Linked DNA regions of Lonchura striata. The protein of the gene in region 1 interacts with the protein of each later gene in a pairwise test. Links are inferred from orthologs where the notes say so. Each region holds a gene or a part of one and is shown on either strand. Other genes may lie near its edges. The genes, in order: ARHGEF7, GIT1 and SH2D1A.

What was found.
Region 2: the proteins of ARHGEF7 (region 1) and GIT1 interact in binary tests that used the Homo sapiens proteins (3 or more experiments, as listed by UniProt). The link is inferred for Lonchura striata from reciprocal best matches to the Homo sapiens genes ARHGEF7 and GIT1.
Region 3: the proteins of ARHGEF7 (region 1) and SH2D1A interact in binary tests that used the Homo sapiens proteins (3 or more experiments, as listed by UniProt). The link is inferred for Lonchura striata from reciprocal best matches to the Homo sapiens genes ARHGEF7 and SH2D1A.

The regions. Positions count from the first base shown.
Region 1 is NC_134604.1:92,628,059-92,634,532, forward strand, and holds the start of ARHGEF7 (rho guanine nucleotide exchange factor 7), read right to left. Parts: upstream 3,916-6,474; 5' UTR 3,782-3,915; coding exon 3,617-3,781; intron 1-3,616. UniProt on the Homo sapiens protein: Acts as a RAC1 guanine nucleotide exchange factor (GEF) and can induce membrane ruffling. Functions in cell migration, attachment and cell spreading. Promotes targeting of RAC1 to focal adhesions. May function as a positive regulator of apoptosis.
Region 2 is NC_134622.1:7,765,985-7,772,458, forward strand, and holds the start of GIT1 (ARF GTPase-activating protein GIT1), read right to left. Parts: upstream 3,796-6,474; 5' UTR 3,742-3,795; coding exon 3,690-3,741; intron 831-3,689; coding exon 697-830; intron 613-696; coding exon 500-612; intron 417-499; coding exon 311-416; intron 236-310; coding exon 149-235; intron 40-148; coding exon 1-39. UniProt on the Homo sapiens protein: GTPase-activating protein for ADP ribosylation factor family members, including ARF1.
Region 3 is NC_134616.1:9,953,419-9,959,892, reverse strand, and holds the start of SH2D1A (SH2 domain-containing protein 1A), read right to left. Parts: upstream 3,934-6,474; coding exon 3,797-3,933; intron 1-3,796.

The DNA.
Region 1 (6,474 bases):
GTTGATTTTGCTGCTTTTTTTTTTTTTTTTTTTTTAAATAATTGAATAATTGCCCTCACTTTTCTTCATTTCCTGTGTTCAGGACAAGGTTATTGTGCAGTGCCACCACACTGCCTAACTCAACTATTTTGTTTTGCCCCGTCATGGTCTCTTTCAAAATGCAAAGGAATCATTATGACATTAAGTAAGAGTCCAAAACTAAGCAGCAGTCTGTAACAACATTACTTTTCAAGGTATTTTCACTCTGACTTAGAGAAATCTAGTGAATTTATTATCTGTCCTTTCCCATTCAAGATAGAAAATTATTATAATGTAAACAAATTCAACCAAAACTTCCTGGCAAGAAGCTTTGTGTGTTGTTCTGTGCAATGCTGGTATACAAATACACAACAACCTAAAGAAAGAATATACTAACCAGCTTTGAAACCCACTGATTTGTTTTATCAACTTATGAAAATTCTGTTCTTTGACCTTCAAGTGCTTGATTCCTTTTATGGTCGCACAATCTTTATTTATTAAAAATCTCCTACTACTTACTCTCAGGGTACCCAGAGGCTTTAAAAAGCACAAAATGTCAAAAAATGTATTACTACATTCCTGCATATATTGAATCTTCTTTCTAATCTGTTTTTGAAAGAAAGAAATACATTTATAGCATTTTTTTAGAAAACCTATTTAAAAGCACCCCAAGTAGATAGACATTCCTTCATATTTATGTTTTGTATTTTTTTTAATATTCCCTTTGGTTTTAGTTACTATTTTGTATTTACAGAAAAATGAGCTCTGTGAGTCTTCAGAGTATCTGCTAATGTCAGATATTTATAGAAAGTTACAATCTCAAAGGATTTTAAGAACTGAATCAGTCTACATCTGTCAGACATCCTTGTATCTTTTAAACTTAAACTGGAGATTTTCGGGGCAAATAAGGAATAAAAAGGCTCATATTTCAAATGCACTTAGTATTAAAAAAGTAACAAAGAGTAGTAGCCAAAAAGACTTGGAAAAACTACCATGGCACAATAAAGGATGTAAAATTTATGTCTGTTTACTAACAAACAAAGAAAGAGAATAAAGTAACACGGAAACAGCTCAGACATAACATAGATGAGAACGTGAAAGAGGTATGGGGTGTAAATTCTGAGTCTACAGAAAAAGAATATTTACAAAGTTAGGTGGAAAAATGAGTTTGTGAGTCTCTCAGACATATCTATGAATTAGAAAGTGCTTTGTGAATGGTCCAGGGAAATAAGAACAGTTACCCTTACAAAACCAAAGATCCTCCTAAAATAATTTTTTAAAATGTCTATTTCTCCCCAGACTTATAACTAAGTCAGAGCCAGAGGAAACACACAGGGGCAGCAGGGACGCCGGGGCGGCCGCCTGTCCCAGCGCCCTGCTCGGCGCGGGGCGAGCTCGGGGAGGTGGGAGGCTGCGAGGCGCCAGCCTTCCTCCCGCCTGGCTGCCAGCCCAGCCCGCACTGCTCCCGCTGCGAGCCCCGCGCTGCTGCAGCGCCAGGGCCACCGCGAGTCCCGCCGGCAGCTCCTCGCACCCAGGCTGCTCTCGTTGTTGGCTGTGCGGAGCTGCGCGCCTCTGTAAACCTTCCTCTGTGCTGTGAAGGGACCCCCACCCAAACATGAGAGGTGTTTGGTCCTCAGATAAAAAGAGAGTCTCTCATTCAATAACCGAGCTGTCCCAAACTATACTGTAACAGAGAAACACATTAAGTTGGGAAACACTCTTGTAACACTTATTTCTGTTCTGCTTTTTTGTTTATTGGTAGAGCCTCTTTCCCAGATTGAGTGCAGGACCCCACTTTACCAGGCTTGACATCTGCACAAAGGGGAAAGACCTTTTCTGCCCTAAAGCTAAGAACCCAAAGTCCAAGATGTGCTCAGGAAGCGTGCCTGGAGCAGCAGTGTGGGAAAGGCTCCCAAAACCCTCCTTGGGCTTGGTGCCACCAGGCAAAAGAGTCTGGGGACAAGGAGGCATGGGCGGAGCCTGTCAGAATCAGTGGATAGTCAGGTGGAGGAGCCCCCACTTACCCCAAGCCCCATGTCACGCGTGCCACCCTGGATTGCAGAACAGGACATTTACTGAATGGCAGAGCAGGACATTTACCTGCTCTGGAGCCCTACTTTGCAGCCCAGTGCACTGGACAACAGTTTGCACCTCATGTACCACCTCCACAAAGCTGCAGCCCCTTTAGGAGCAGGGGCATCCTCTTCAGCTCTACTGCCTGAACAGCCACTTACGGGGAAATGGTGGCGGGGAAAGCTGACAGCAGCAGTGGCAGGGGCTTCAGCTGTCCCAGCTAGTCCCCACTGGCCACCATGGTGATCCTTGAGTTAGCCACGCTCACACAGCCACCAACACACTGTGCCCGCTCTCATCACTTCCATCACCCGCCAAGAGCACTGCGGGCTCCTGTGAGGAGTCCACATCCCCGTACCACCTCCTGATGTACCTGTGAATCTGGGAGGCAGGAATGATCTACTAAATCCGCAGAATGGGACTCCAGTCCAGAGCCAAGACCTTCATGTACAACACAAAACAATAACAACTCCAGTGGGTGGCAAACTGAAGAACCGAAGTGGGACAGCCCAGCCCAGTGTCCTGCTAAGCTCAAGGCGCTGGTTACAACTTTGTGGGTCTGAGAACTACTCGAAATAGAGCCACAAAAGGTAACAAAAGCTCACTGTCAGCAGGCTCCAGCGAGTGGAATGCTCTGCCAACTGTTCTGCAAAAGGTGAAAAATACGGTGTTATTTTCAAGCAAGGAGTCATCCCATCATCATAGCAGATGACCTTCATCAATCTTCACTACCTTAGACTGGCACACGAGGAAAGATTTTTGTCAATATGTGGATCTCTGTGTGCACTATGTTACTAAACATCAGGTGAGACAACAGTACTGTCCCAAGTTTTGAGGCACAACCAAACCCCTTTGGTTGTCTTTTCCCTCTGGCTGAGCGACGACGGGAATTATGTACGCACACAGAACACATAGAAGTTACCTGACAGAGTACATTTTCTTCAAACAAAACACAAACTAGAGCTGTAACGCGTTTTTTCAGCACAAAAAAAAAAAAAAAAAAAAAAAAAAAAAAAAGGAGATTTTTTTTCCACAGGCTACCGAACAGTAAAGGACCCAAATAACGCTTAAGCAGCCTTCAAGAAAACTAAGCATCAAACGCTAAAATGTCCTTCAGAGGCTGGAAGGGATGAGCTGAATCACCTCCCAAGCGAGGTGAGGCACCGGCTGCTCCAGCAGTTGCGTAGATAAGTTTGCAGCCGGCTCGTGGCACGCAGGGCAGGGTCCATAGTCCACCCTCCAAAATTAATGCATCTCCCATGCACAGCCGGGACTCCGCTTTGGGAAGCGGAGCGTCCGTACAACACTTGCAGAACAGTGGCTCCTCACGGGGGTTCCCCTCCAGCCCGGCTGCCGCTCCCCGCTCTCCCCCGCCGGGGACCGGCCCCGCTCCGCCCCCCGCGCCCCCCACCGCCCTCCCCGGGCCCGGGGTCCCCCTCCGGAGCGGGGGGCGGCGCGGGCGGGGCCGGGGGCGGCGGGCCCGGCCGCACAAAGGGCGGCGGGGCGGGGGCCGCCGGGCACTTACTTTGTCTATGGTGCCCGGGAGCAGGCGGTCGAGCAGGCGGCACAGCACCACGCCATCCTTCAGGGAGGACTGAAGGAAGCCCTCGGGGTCGGAGATGGTCTTTTTGGGCGACTCCAGCACGCCCAGGGCGATCAGCCACGTAACGGTCTGCTCCGCCGAATTCATGGCGATGGCGGCGGCGGGCGGGGGTCGCGGCGCCCCGCGCCTCGCGTGGGTTTTGTGTGTCCCCCGGCGGGGGCTTCAGGCGGAGGCCGGCGGCGCCGCCCCCATGTGAATGCAGATGACGACGCCCCGGCCCCGCCGCTACAGACACATGCAGCTGCAGTGCCGCCTCCTCCCCGCCCCCCCGCCGCCGCCGCCGCCGCCGCCGCCGCCCCATGACATCACTGGCAGCGGCGGCGGCGGGGCCGCGCGCCCGCGGAGCCCCGCGCACCGCTCCGCGCCCGCTGCGCGCGCCGAGCGGCGGCCGGCGCGCGCCCCCTAGCGGGCGGGCGGCGCCTCCGCGGGCGCGCAGCGAGGCGGGAGCGGGAGCCGCCGGGCACCGCCGGCCGCGGGGAAAAGTTGCGGGATCCCCCGGCCCCTCATCTCCTCCTCGGACGGCGCCGTCGCGCAGAGAACGAACCCCCTCAAGCCTTCGGCGCCAGGCTCCGGGAGACTGGTTTCGGACCATCTCCCTCTGGGAGCGCCGGCAGCGGGCGCCGGCCCGACCGGCCGCAGTAACGCGATCTCTGCCTTTGCCCGTCGTTCCCTTGCAAGGAAACCCGTTTGCAGCCTCGGGCCAGCGGCCGGGTCGCGGGCTCGCCCCGGTGCGCGCCATCCCCGCCGTGCGCCTGCTGGGATGCTCCATCCCCGAGCGCCTCCCGCCAGCTTCCCCCCCGATGGTCTGCGGCACCGCCTGGGAAGCCAGCGTAAATACTCTACACAGAAGGACTGTGAAGACTAACCTGAAACAGAGCCCTCCTGTGCCTTTTATTCTGACAAAAGCCGTTCCTCAAGGATTTGCTTGGACGGGACACTATGAGCAATCAGTATTTTCTTTTTTGTTAGGAGCTGGCTGCTGTGGGCTCCCAGGGTCCCTCTGTTGCCATCAGCCTCGCACACGCCAGGAGAGGCGATACCACCACAGCCCCTGCTTTCCCTTCTCGCCCCATCTGACGCCCTTGAGGGGCAAAATGCCTACTCCAAAAGGCAAAGGCAGAGGCAACAATGCCAACCCAAACTCATCGCTGCTGTTCTGCTTCCAGCCTGGCGTACTGCATCCACCACCATCACAGTCCCTGAGCAGCAGCTCTGGTAGGTTCTTTTGACCCAGAATCTCCTACCAAATCACCAGCCAGCCCAGAAAGACAGAGGTGCATTTCAATTTGGTACAAGATAATCTAATTTCAACACTCAATCTCCTCCTAACCCATAATAGGTGCAGATTTTCTTAAATTCTTAAATTTCACATTTCAGGTAGATACCTCTTCCAAAATTTGTTTTTTGTTTTGCCCCTTGCTTTTTGGTCGAGGTGAGAGCAGCAGACTTGCCTCTGTCAGTATTAATGCCCACCCGGATTCAAGCAGGATGGGATAAACAAGTACAATGCACACAGCAATGGTCAGGTGCTCATTACATCAGCATCCCCAGCAGGGGTACCCCAGTAGCTTCCCGAGCAAGATGAGCAGCAAGTGGGGACCTCCCTGGCACTGGCCCATGATAGAAAACTATGGGCATGAGTTTATGAAACTTTTTATATGAGAGATGTGATGGGTACATGAACGAGGTGAAAAGTGCATGGCTGATTATAGCAGAGAACATGATACAAGACATGTTGTGGGAAAACCCATCCAAAGACAATGGAAATAACCATATATTACAACACAGAATAGTGATCTTAGCAAAGCATAAAGGGTTTCATGATAAGCAATATCTGGGTTATCACTGACATTCATCACCTATCTCCTCATCATTCTTCTGCACTTAACTGTACTGTCTTCCATATCTATTTTGAACAACAGCTTCTGATCCAATGATTTGTCAGCTATGAAGAACACAAACATGGCAGTTCTTTGCCATTGGAAAGCCATGTGGATAGATTGCTTGGAGACTTCTAAAAGAAGCTTGACACAGGTCAGGAAACCATTTCAAGATCTTTAAAGGAAAAAAATTAAAGTGCCCAAAAGATTTAGGAGCATGCCACTCCCTGCCTATATTCCTTTCTTGTCAGACTTTCCCCTACCAGGTATTTACTGCAAAGCACCTGAACTCTCTGCACAGCTCCCTTGTTTTATTCTTTCCTCCTGCATGTCCCAGTACTGTCCATTTGTACTAAAACCTTGTAGGACACACAGATATTTTGCATGTGCTGTCTAGCGAGTGGAGCCCATGCCATGGTGGGAGTTTTGAAGTAACACAAACAATGATACATACACTTATTGTAAGTCTGCACTCCTTCTTCCTCTTTGTTTCACAATTAAAGATGTTCTGATTCTCTTATGACCTGATTCTGATCCCACTGTTGCTTCTAAATCATAAACTCATGACATCTTTATTCAAACATCCATTTTGATAGTATTTAAATAGTATAAATTCTTTCTGAAAGATGGGATAGATTTTAACAACTTTCTTTTAGGGGATGAGGGATGATTTAAACTACTTTTTTTCCTGCAAAATATTTTAAATTTATGCAAAGCTGAAAAAGTAATTTTGGTACTGACTTTTATAAACAAGGGATATATATATATATGAAGCTTGTAGGTTCAGGTAACTTCCAGACCTTAAATCTGTTTACACAAGCAAAAAGATTCTGATATTTGGGGAATTTGGTGGGGGAGGAGGGGAAGGGGGAGGTGTCTCAGTTTAATACTGTCTGGACC
Region 2 (6,474 bases), on another chromosome or scaffold:
GGCCTTGGCGGCCACGTGTAGCGGTGTGGTGCCCTTCTCCTGCGGGCATGGGCAGCCTCAGCCCTGCAGCCTGCACGTGGCGTGAGGCTCCAGGACCCCCCTGGGCCCCACTCCACCTCTGGGGTCCCTGGGCCCCACCAGAGCTCACCGGGTGGAAGAAGTTGGCCTGGGCACCCAGCGAGAGCAGGCGCAAGCAGGTCTCCAGGTTACCCGTCCGCACGCTCGAGTGCAATTGCTGCAGAGGAGAGAGCTGGTAATGGGGGGATCTGTCCTCACTGCCATAGTGGGGGTCCCTGAGCCGCCACTCCACCTTGCTGAGGTCCTTGGCAGTGACACCGTCATCATCCCGGCAGGGCAGCTTGTGGACGAAGGCCAGCATCTGGTACTTGGCACGGATGAACTCCGACTTGGTGGGGCTGGGTGTGAGCAGTGGGTTTTGGGTGAGGAGGGGGCTTGCAGCCAGTGCTGACCCCCTCCCCACAGCACAGGGGACACTTACTGCACTTTGTCCTGGGGGTTTGCCTTCCGGCGCCCGCTCTGCACCTGCGCTGGATCCAGCAGCGAGTGCTCCCAGATGGAGTTGGCCCCGTTGCTCGCCAAGGTGTGCACCATCTGCAGGGGACAGGCAGGGCCCAGTGGGCGGGGGGGGGGGTCCCAGTGCGCATCTCCCCCCGTTCCAGTGTCCCCAGCACCCACCTGGAGCAGGGTGGCGGGCCAGGGGCTGTGGCGCAGGTGCTTGACGATGGAGATGTGGCGGCCCAGGCTGCGGTGCACGCTGCAGCACTCGTCGCAGATGAGCACCCCGCGGTTGATCGACGCCCAGCCAGGGTCTGGGGGTGGCATGGGGGTGTCAGCGGGTGTCCCCTCCCCGTGCGGTCCCCTCCTCATGCATCCATCCAGCAGGGGGGATGCGTTGCCACAGCAACCATTTCCCGGGAGATGGAGAGGGGCTCGGCCCATCACCAGGGGAAACCCACGGGTTTCCCATAGCAACCGCCAGCCAAAAGGGGGGCAGGGTTTGGCCCCCCACCATCAGGAGGACAGCTGGTGGCAGGGATGATGCCAGCACACTCTGATCAGGGGCACCCTGGCTCACTGCGAGGTCACTCACCCCCGGAGCCCCTGGCTGGGTGTTGGGGGGTCCTGGATGGGGGCAGTGTGTCCCACAAGGGGTGGGCACCCCCAGTCCATGGGCTCCTAGGTAGGGTGGTCACCAGCTCTGCACCCTCAGCTCCGCAGCGCAGCCAGCCCACAGGACACCCCAGCCCCGGGGCAGGTGCCATGGCCCCCCAGGCTGCCGTGCCCCTCCAGCCCCGCCGCTGGCCCCGGCCGGCTGGACTGGAGCCCTTTGTGTCCCCGCTGGGAACAAAGGATCGTTTGAGCAGCCGCGCTGGCCCCGCGCTGGCACCAGCCCCGGCACCCGCGGGGGCACCGCTCCCGGCCAGGCAGCGGCTCCCCACGCCTGCACCCCAAAAACAGGTCCTGGGGACGAGGGGGCCTGGCCCCGTGGTGTGGCCGTTGAGCTGCAGCTGTTCACAGCAGCATGAGGACAGGATTTGGGGACCCCCGCTGGGTCACAGCCCCTCTCCCCCCCGGGAAAGGCAGCCAGGCACGGATGCTGAATCGCTGAATCGTTCCCAGGTGTCCCCTCCGCCAGGCACGACGGGGCAGTCCTGCCACCCTCTGCCCAGCCCCACCCCATCCCCTCGTTTCTGTAGGTCCTACACAAACGCCACACTGTCCCACGGCGGGGGGCAGCCCCACGCCCGGGGATACAGGGCCTGGGGAGGTGACCACACTGACCTGCCCGATGGCCCTGAGCCCCCAGTGGCCCCACGACCTCACAGAGAGAGGAAGGCAGGCAAGCAGCCAAGCCTCCCCCACTTCCTTCCTCCCTGCAGGGTCCCGGACCCCTCCCCACGCACCCCCCCAGAGCCCTGAGGACACCGTGCTGGGGGGCACGGCATCCTGCCATGCTGCAGTGCCCCGGGGCCGGGGTGGGGTGGCCCGGGGGGAGCGGTGGCCCCCCCAGCCTGGCAGCCCCTCGCACGCAGATGGCAGCGCCTTGGCAGCCGGTGCGGCGGCATCTGCGCCTTCGCACCCGCTGCCCACGGCCACCGCCGGGAACAGGACGCTCCGTGCGGGGGGAGCCGGCCCCTCCAAGCGGGTGGATCCAGAATATCCCTGGGGCAACAGCCCCTCCCACCCTAAAACCGCTGGGATGTGGTGGGATGCGGGCGGGCACTGCAGCAGATCGTGGAGTGCTCGCACAGGGACACTCCAAACCCTGGCAGGATCCTGGAGTCCAAGGGAGCTCGCAGCACCTCGATCCCCGCATCGGGATGTGCGCTGGCACCGGGACCGCCAGCGCTCGGCCCCGCACTGGCGATGGCAGGGCTGGGGCCAGCCGGCATCCCTGCGTGGGGCCGAGGGAGGCCGGGCACAGGGACCAGCGCATCCCACGGGCACCTCCCCACGCAGGGCCAGGCAGCGCATCCCCGGCAGCGACAGCGGGTGCTCCCAGCGCGCTAGGAAACGGCCTCTGGACTTTATAACTCATTTCCTCCCATGGCTGCCAGGCGATAAGAGATTGGAAGAGACTGGTTTCCATTTCCCCTGGCCGCAGAAGGGAGCCCCGGCACCGCCCCGGGAACCCCTGGCCCCCCGCTCGCCCGCCGGCACGGGGGATGCCAGGAGGCAGGGCAGCCTTTCGCCCACGCGTGCCGACAGCTCTCCTGGCAGGATCCGGCCATTGGCACGTGGCCGGAATAATTTCGGCACAGCCTTGGCCCGCGGGCAGCTTTCCGGGGCCGGCTCGGAGACCCGTTCATTCATTGCCGTGGGGCCACCTGCACCGGCTACGGGCAGGTTTGGGGTCCGGCCCTACCGTGGGCAGGGTTTGGGGGGCCAAACCCTCCGCGCGTGCCCAGCGTGGGGGCTGTGGGCACGGGCACCGCCGGGGATGGGAATGGTCTTGCCCAGGCTCGGCTCCGGCTTGCAGCGCGGCGGCCGCCGGGCTCACCCAACCGGCACCGCCAAGCCCGGATCCGGCTGGGGTGGGTGCCGGCTGTGGGGTGCAGGGTGTCCCCCATCATCCTGCCATTTACAGGGTCACCAGCGCTGCTGGCACCGACCGGCGCGCCCCCAGCCTGTGCCAGCAGCCCCCGCGCTGGGGTGAGAACGCCGTGGGTGGTGCAGGGGGGCGTGGGGCACACGGGGCGCGCTGGAGCGGCACGGAGGAGGGCATGCGGGGGTATCGGGGCTGCGTCTCGGGTGTATTCGGGCATTCCAGGAGGCTAAAAGGGGGTGCACCAACGGGGTCATGGGTTTCATCAAAGCGTTTCACTGGGGGCACATCAGAGGGCTCCTGGGGGGAAGGAGGGGGACTCCATGGGGCTCCCTCGGGTGCGCAGAGTGGGGCGCAGAAAGGAATCACCAGGGCGACCCTGGGGGCACTCAGGGAGGTGCAAAGGGGTCTCGATGTGGGGTGTAGAAGGAGATGCAAAAGGGGTCACGGGGAGCAGTCCGGGGGCAAGCACCCCGGGGTGCAGCGGGGGCTGGCGGGGCTGCGGGGCCGCCCCGGGGGCTCTCGGCGGCGCGGGGGGAGCGCAGGGCAGGCTCCGGGGGGCAGCAGGAGGCGCGGGGGGGCTGGCGGGGCCGTGCCGGTGCCGATGCGGGGGGGCCCTTACCTGGGGCGCTGCAGTCGGCGCACACCTCTGCCCGCGGCGCCTTCCGGGACATCCTCAGCGGCGAGGCGGGCCCGGGCCCGGGCCTCTGCGCCAGCGTGGGGCGGCGGCGGCGCCCCCGGGCCCGCCGGGGGAGCGGCGGCGGGGAAGGGGTGGGGGGGGCCGGGCAGCGGGGAGGGGGCGGCGGGGCCCGGGCGGCGGGGCCGGGGGCTGCCGGCTGCTCCCAGCGCCCGGCGGCTCCGCAGGAAGCGGCGCAGGCCCGGCCCCGGCGGAGGAGGGGCCGCACCGCCCCCGCCCCGCCACCGGCAGCGCCGCCGCGGCCGCCCCGCACCGGCACCGGCACCGCCCCGCACTCGCAGCCGCACCCGAACCCGCACCGGCGCCGGCACCGCCCCGCACCGGGACACGCACCGGGACCGCCCCCGCCCCGCACACGGACCCGGACGCGCACAAGAATTCGTGCGGACACCGGCACCGCTGCACACACCCGCACCGGCGCCGCCCCCGACCCGCACCCGCACCTGCAAACGCCCCCCGGACAGCCCGGTCCCGGACCGGGGCACCTCACCTGCTCCTGGGCGTCAGCACTGCCCTTGCTCTGATCCCGGGCATCCCCTAGCCCTGACCCCGTGCCCGTCCTCGGTGCACTCCCGGTCCCATTTTCATTTTGTCCTGGTCCTCCTCCCCGCCCTTGTCCTGTTTATCCTGGAGGGGTGGCACTGATCTCATTCCTGTACCGGGTCCCGTGTACCCCCAGTCCCAGCCCAGGGCACCCCCAAATTGCTGCAGTCCTGCTCTGGACACTTGTTCTGGATCCAGCCGCAGTCCTGGGGCAGCCCCAGCCCTCTTCCCCATGCCACCTCTGACGCTGTGTACCCCACTCCCGGACACACCCCTTCTCCAGGACACTGGGTTGGGCCACACACCCCTTTATGGTGCTCCACTGGGGATTTTGGGGGTGGGTGGGGAGGACTGGGGACTGTATGGGGTCTGCTCCCTCCTGCGACCCTTTAGGTACCAGAGGGGACACCGATGGGTGCCCCACAGCCAGCCGGGGGGGTCAGACCCCAGCAGGAGCGGGGTCGCATGGTGTCCCCCCGCCGTGGGGCAGGCGGGGTGGCCTCACCGCGGGCTGCTCACGACATCATGGGGCAGCGGGGACGGGGGATGCTGTGCGGGGACAGGGGCGGGGGGATGCGACCACCGCCACGGCCGAGCAGAGAACAACAGCGGGGGGCTCCTCCCATGGCAGGGTGGGGAGCAGCGGGGTGCGGGGCCGGGAGCGTGGCGCCGGCGGAGGCCGGGGCGGCCGCAGAGGCCCAGCCTTGCATTGTTCTCGGGCGGCAGCCGGAAAACGCGACGCCCGCCCGGGAGAGACGCGGGCGGAAAAGGAAACGGGGCTGGGGCCCCCGTGCCTGGTGCTGCGGGGCCGGGAGTCGGGGTCCCCCCACCTGGTCCCCACCTGCCGCCTTCACCCCTGCCCCACCATATGCCCGGGTCCGCTGCCCCACCGGGGGAGCGGAGATCAGCTGGGAAGGGGAAGATCAGCCTGGGAAAGGGGGCAATGTGGGGAGGATGCTAATCGCCAATGGGGCGCCCCTTCGCAGGTCCCCCCCGCGGGATCGGAAGCCGCGGTGATGGACTGAGCGGTGCGGGAGGGGGGGGCGAGGAAAGAGGAGGATGAAGATGAGGAAGGAGAAGGGGGCGATGCCGGGCAGGGCAACTACAAGTCCCATGAGGCCGGGCGGTGCGGGGGGGCCGGGGAAGCACCGGGCGGGAGGTGGTGGCCCGCCCCGCCCCGCGCCCCCCCGCCCCGCGCCGCGCCGCCCCGCGCCGCGCCCGCCGCGCCGCTCCAGCATGCACGGAGGATGCTCGCGTCTTGCTCGGGCAGGAAGGGGCCGGAGGGCAGGTACCCGCTGCACTACCTCGTCTGGCACAACCGCGCCCGTGACCTGGACCGGGAGCTCAGCGCCAAGCAGGTGGGGCGGCGCGGGGACACTCCCGGCACGGCCCGGCCCGGCCCGGCTCCGCTCGGGCTGATGCAATGCTCGGGGCCGGGGTGAGGATGAGGATGGAGATGAGGGGGGTGATAAGGATGGGGTCGCTCTCTGCGCTGGCGGGGCTCTGGGGGTGCGCTGTGTGTCCCCACCCGCACCCCGGGACTGTGCCCGCTGTCCCCGGGGCTGCCAGGGAGCGGTGGGTGCCACCCGCGGGTCCCCTGCATCCTCCAGCACACGCAGCCCCGAGCAGCCCTCCGCACGTGTCCCCGGCTCCCTGCTAGGCCTCTGCAGACCCCCGGCCCGCACCCCGCTTCTCAGGGTATTGCCAGCCCCCTGGGGGTGCAGCATCAGCTCCGCACCCTCAGGCTGAGCCCCTGGGGGCGGGGGGACAAGGGCCCTGATGCTGTCGGGGCGCAGCCCCCCAGCCCCACAAGGGTTCTCCTCATGGTGAGGGGACCCACTTTGTCCCTCAGCCAGGGAACCTCCCAGCCGCCTGGTGATGGAGCGGGGTGTGGGTGCTTCCCCGGCGGGTTCCCAGCCTCCCTCTCCCCCGTGGCGATGCAATTCAGGTAATTAAAACCCAACCCCGAAGACGCAGGAAACCGCAGGCGCTGGAGGGAGGCTGGCGGGGAAGCTGTGCTGAGCATCCCCAGTCTCTCGGCCCGGGTTCCCAAACCCCAAGGCACCGAGGGCCGTGCTGGATGGACCCTGGTGATGCGTGAAACGGGGGTCATTGTGCCGCGAAGCTCCCGCCGGGATGCAGGCGATGGCTCCCGCCACACCCGTCT
Region 3 (6,474 bases), on another chromosome or scaffold:
CCAGTTCTCAGGAACAGCAAAAATCTTGCTTTTCAGTGCAACTCTAAAAGTTTCCAGGAAAGGATTGTGTACCTCTGTTGACATATTCACAACATCCTTAAAGTAAATATTATCAATTCAATAATGATATTCATACAGTGAAGACCCAGGAGCATCTGGTATTAAAATCATTGCCAAAATCTGAAAGTAGCACCTCTGTTTGCAAGCATACAATTGCAAATCAAAACCTTCCTACTCTTCCATGAATAGTTTAATTGTGGTCTTAAAATATTTTTGAAAGTGAGTCCTTTGTGCTTTGTCGCAGTCACACCAAGAAAATATTATTTGTGTCTTTGAAGGCTTTCAGGCACACCATGTGCACATCTCAGCTTCAGAAAGTGGAAAGTGGCATTCAAGGGAGATAAATCAGTAGCTCAGCAGAAACAAAGAGGAGAGAAAGCAGAGTTTTCTAGATGAATGCTCCAACAGGGTGCTGCCTGCTGCAGTTACCCACCTCTATAGGTCAGGTTTTATGCTACTACCTGTCTCTTTTATGCCTGCCCTGTAAAATCAGCATCAGTCACAAGGGATTCATGAAGTCTTTGACTCTTCTCCTTTTTAAAGGTCAGGGCTCCACTTTTTAATTGGAAAAGCAAAAGGTGAATGAGCCTGACCATGAACACTGCAGTACTCATTGTGTGCCTTAAGAGGCTCAAAGCCTGCCAAAATATGTCAGGGCTTTTTGGAGGTGCTTGAGGAGGAAGATGTGGTGGTGACTGTGGCATTACAAATTTATGCAGTTTCTTGGGGAAAGGAGACATTGTTTGAGCATAAGCATGCAGTGAAATCACAGGGCTTGACAATTACAGTACCTAGAGCTGGAACTGCAGAGTAGCCACTAATGTGAATTCAAGCAGATGACACCACTGTCATCCAAATATATGCTTAATTGCTCTTTTGATAAATATTTCTTTTCATCAGAACTGTGCCTTGTAATTCCCCGTTGACGGAAAAAGGAACCCTAAAAAGGGTTAGAACTGGGAAGCTGCAGGACTTTGTTTTGGTTTGTTTTAGTTCCCCAGGTAAGTGGAGGGAGAGGGGAAAGAAGACAGACTGAACATGTCTTGATTTTGGAAAACTGGACTAGTTTTCTCTTTTTGTTTTCTAATGGCAATAGAAACACTACCTACAGTATAAAACATACACACTTCTGGTAGAATTTTTCACTGGAAACATGCAAAATATTTTGTTTAGCTCTGATACTTATTGCAGTATATCTAATGGCTGATCAGCTTTATTCCCCATGTTTCAAAGATCACTTCATTACTTCTAGTAAATTAATCTTTTGTCTGATCTTTGTATGTCAATATATTCTTATAGTGATCTTCAGCATGGATTCTGAACTACAATGTAAACTGCTGAATAACTTTGTTATTCCTAATAATTTCCATTATTTATTTAGAATGAAGTACTTTAAAAAGCAGATAAATACTTATTCTTTCTTTAATTTTCTTAGAGAGTAAAAACAGCAACTGCACACTTCCCTCAGTTTTTACCAGAGCTGCCCTGCACATGCATGTTTGTCACCTATTCCATCTGTTCCCATGATGTTCAGACTGGAATTTGGACAGGTTATGTCCATTGGTTCCTTTGCCAAAGCCAGGCTCAGCATTCTCTACCAAATACGTATCTCCATCTCTCACACCTTCCCTTCCTGTTCCTCCAGTCTCTCCACTAAAGTGCTCTGCTTTGGCAAACTTTGCCTGTCAAAGCACTTCTCTAGTTTATAGCCCACAGTTCTTCAAACTGTCATTGCTCTCAGTGTGGGATCCTTTCCTGGTATAAAAACTGTCTCCACAGTTATTGTGTGACATGCTGTTTCCCATATCTGCTATTTCCTTACATAATTATTTGAACTGACTGTTAAGAAGCATTGGAACCAAGACTTAATTCTACCATTTTTTAGCCACCTTTCTTTCTGTATCAGTTCATACTCATCATAATATTTTTCATTTAGATTTTATCTATTTCAAATTTCTTTTATAGAATAACTATTAAGGATCTATGTTCTGAGCCTTCAGAACACTCACCATTAATATTTTTTTTGCTTTTACCCTTTTGTTTATCATACATATGTTTCAATGCAACATACCATGGAGATATGAATGGCCCATAATTTCAGAAGCAATTTGGTCTGTTTCTTACTGAAGTGTCTTTTCCTCCAAAGACTGCAGAGCTTCACAGTTAGAAATGCTTTAATTTCTTCCTATTCTCATATTCCATATTTTAGTAAATTAATTAAATTTCTTTCAAAGGGCATCAATTACTACCAGTATACAAAAAATCCCAACTGATTGTGTACTACTGAACGACCTTGTTACGTACCTACATCCTGATTAAGACTGATGGTGGACTAATTCTATTATTTTCTGTCTTATTCAGCATTGTAACACTCTTCCTGACCCTTTCTCTAATGCCTTAGTGTTTCACCTGCACTGAATGACTTCTGAGTGTAAGGCTGGTATATCCCCATTTCCTCTAATAGTTATTTTAAAGAGATTCTGGTTTTATTGCCTATTCCCATCACAGGAATCATAGCACTCCTCACGTCTTGCTATGTCTATTCCATTTTCATTTAACTTAAGATGCTTCTTATTTCCCATTTTTCAGCTCTCTGTTAAGGTATTTGTTAGCAGGAGCACCTAACTTGGTTCATCTGATTTCATGAGAGAAGAAAAAATACATCCTCTGCCACAAAGACTTTTCCTGAGAAGCGTATTGTGTATTTTTGGATTGCTATAACCTTCTTGCATGTCTCCATTTACTGGTCTATAACTGGAAGATAATGATGCTCACCCAGGGCTTAATTACATCTTGTCAGAAATGTATTCATGGGATCTGGGGAAAACCTGACTTAGGACCGTCTTCCTCTTTTTTGCCAGGTACCCGAGTTCCCTCTGTTAGCTGATTTCATGCTGCACCTAAAAGTGTTTTCTCTAGTGTTCCTTCCCCTACTGAAGTCAAGCATAAATGTCATCTTTGTTTTTCTGATGCAACAGTACGGTGTCACCAGGACTTCCAAGAATTTTGCCAACAGTACGGTAATTAAGTTTCCTCATTAAAATGAGGTCCTATGAATATAAAGTCCCCCAGCTCTCCCAGGGGAACCTTTGCCTTCTCTCGGACAGATCATCCCATCAGATCTCTCCCTTTTCATCTTATTTGATGAAACATTATCACCTAGTTTGTTACCATCAGTATTTTATGTCCATTACAGGTAGTTTGCTCCAAGCCTCGTGTCCTGTGGGACAAGCCACAAGCTTGTGGGACTGAGAGCATCCTGAACAAAGGCACATTCTGGATGGCAGCACTCGGTGTTACCTTTCCCAGTGACAGGGTGACCGGGGATGCTGCTGAGCACACCCATGAGCACACTAGGGAAGCAGAAGGACACAGGCAGAAGGCAAGAGGGTTACCAGCACAAAGAGGCAGTACACACCATCCTGAGCCAAGTCGCCTGGCATTTCTCCATGCACCTTGCTTATCCTTCCCATATGCCTGCCTGCTTCCTCTTTATGGCTTTTTGTCTGTGGGATGCATGGGCTCTGCAAGGCAAAACCCGCTCCTCTTTGCTTGGTGTGGGACCCCACACCACTTATTGCCCACCTCTATCCTGACCTGAAGGAGCCGAAAGCCTCACTCAGGTAAGCAGGTGGTAACACTGGAACACATTTTGTTGTGGGGGGCCTGTCGGCAGCCAGCTGCCCCTCAGCAGCCCTGGCGGCCCCGCTCCCGGCCCGCTCCCGGCCCCACTCACAGCACGCAGAGGCAGTACACCCCCGGGATGCTCTCGCTGTCCCGCAGCAGGTAGCTGCCGTCCGTGCCCGCCGCCAGCAGCAGCTTCTCCCCAGCCTCTCGGGTGATGGCCCCGTGGTAGACGGGCACCGTGTCCATGCCGGGCCCGTCCCGCTGCAGCCGTTCTCCCGGGCTTGGCGCTTCCTCCGAGCGCGCCCCAGCCGCGCGCTCCCTCAGCCTCCGCGTCTCGCCGGCAGATGTAAACAGGATGTGTTCACACCTCTGAAGCCTCTGCACGGGTGAGACGGCACTGAGGGAAGAGTGAGGAACGAGCACAGAATTTTTGTGGGTTTTTTTCCTGTTCCCCTTTCTGCCTTCCTTTTGCGTAGGCTGCACGGCTCTCGCGCCCTCAGAGCTCGCCTCGGAGGTGTCATTCACACCCACTCTGGCCATGTGGCGCTGCTCGGCGGGACGGCGCCGCTGAGGCGCGATGGCCGGGGCCGTGGCTGGGACGGCGAGGGCAGGACCGGGCGCTGCTGCCAGCGGCTGCGCCAGGCGCTTCCCTCTCCTGCTGCTAACCCGAGAGGATTGTTACTCCAAGGAGGGTTTGTTTCGGGTTTTTTAACCTCTTGTTTTTACAGTCCCCGGGGATGAGGCTAGAGGAAGTCAGCTGAGCTCGCTGTCTCACCAGAGCTGCAGGTGCCAGCACAGCCCCAGCTCCGCACCAGCTGCCGCGGTGCCACAGACACCAGCCCCGGCTGATTCACCTCGGGGGCTGCTTTCAAAGGCTTTGGTGCTGTTTAAGCACTGTTAATGTCACGGTGGTCACTTCTCTTTGCACACACAAGGAGACCCCTCACATCTTCCCAGATGCCACTGGTGCCAATGCTGCCTTCATGTGGGGCATGAACTGGCATCCAAAATCCCGAGCCATGTCTGAAAGAGCCATTTCTCTTCACCTGCTGTGACTGAAGACAATTCCTCAGTACTTGCCAACTGAATGCTCCCACACGCACATGCACAGCTGTTTGCAAACAAGCTGTCAATGTGCTTTAATGTGCCCCACAGATGTTTCCACCCCACAGATATTTCCACCCATGGAAGAACTGAGCATATTTCCATGGGCCTGCAGCAAGCTCAGGGCTAAATTCTTCCCTGGCATGAGGCTGGCACCCTCTCTTGAAGAGCCACCTTCCCACACCTGTGTGTGTGAGCAAGAAGTCACTTAAATATAGCAATAAGTATAGGTTGTGGTTATGATTGATTGCTTTTAAATTGAGTTTAGTAGCAGGACAGGACAGAATGAAATAATCTCATCCAGGTGCTCGCAGATGCTGTGTCCTTGTTGAAGTTAAGGATACATGAAAAAATAGCTTTTAAAATAGACACAGTTCAGGAAGAGAAATGAAATTTAAAAATAGCAAAAATAATGGCCGCTCTTTTTAAACTTCAATCAAAGTCTTTTCTCTCAACCATTTAACAGTGCAATGTCTTTACTTTTTGATCTTCAATATAGTTTTTCCTTGGAAATATTTTTTTTCAAACTAGCTTTAGTTTTTCCTTTTGAGGGATGGGTATTTCTGATCCCAGAGTCACAGGGTAGCTCGTGCATGGGGCACTGCACAAAGTCACTGATGGCAAAGCTGCAGCGTTTGAAGACCAAGAGCCTCTTTCCCCACAGGGAGACCTTGGCAAGTGACTGCCTCCTTGGCTGGCACTGAGAGGCTGAGAAAGCTGCAGAAATGTCAGCTGAAGAGAGACTGAAAACTCCCACCACCGAGTTTATGGTCTTTCTATCTCATTATGCAGGTATTCATTACCCCCTTTACGTGAATCTGGGGACTCAGACATCCTGCTTGGTGTTTTTAAACCAGTTGTTAAAGTATTTGCACATAAAGTAGCTGCTGCCTACTGCAAATCTGATTAATGTGGACAGCAACAAGCTGTAAAGCTGCTGCCTATTTCCAAACTACCTGTGCTCTTGGGGATTTCATCCAACTTTCCCATTTCTTAACCTATTCTCAATATTAATAGCTGATTTCAGAAAAAGTATGTGTGTAATTAGCTGGAGAGGAAAACCAGCCAGAATTATTTAATTCTGCAAATTTAATTGTCCCACTCATTAGATTTCAACTAAAGAAAATCATAAAACTTTTCACTGTGAGTTCCTCTGCTAATGTGGAGTCACCGCCTCACCCAGCCAACCTGCATTCTCCAGCACTTGGATGAAGAAGCATCTATTACTGTAAAACAGCTGTAAACACACAACTTTGCTAGTCTGGTTAAGAAATCTATAAAAGTCCAGCTACTGAATCTCAACCCCAGGCTTCCATACAAGTCCCTTTACGGCCCCACTGACTAGGGGAATTGCAGCTTTTAAGAAATCCTGGAAATCCTGTGTTTGGGAACAAGGGACAGTAACATTGAGGTACCTGTCAGGGACTGAAATGGTTCATGCCTTAAACATTGTTATGAAGCAGTTTTGCCCATTATAGCAAAAACTGTACAAAGAAGCTACAAGCACAGAAGCCCACCCCTCCCTAAAGATGCCTGACTGTAACTTTGGACCCTGAGGTAAGCCATATAGATAACATAAAGGGGACACTATTGTTCAATAATCTCAGGCTGAGGGAGAAGAATGAATCCACAAGAAAGCCAAACTCAGAAGCTGCATTGAAAATCGCCTCTGGCCATGTTTGG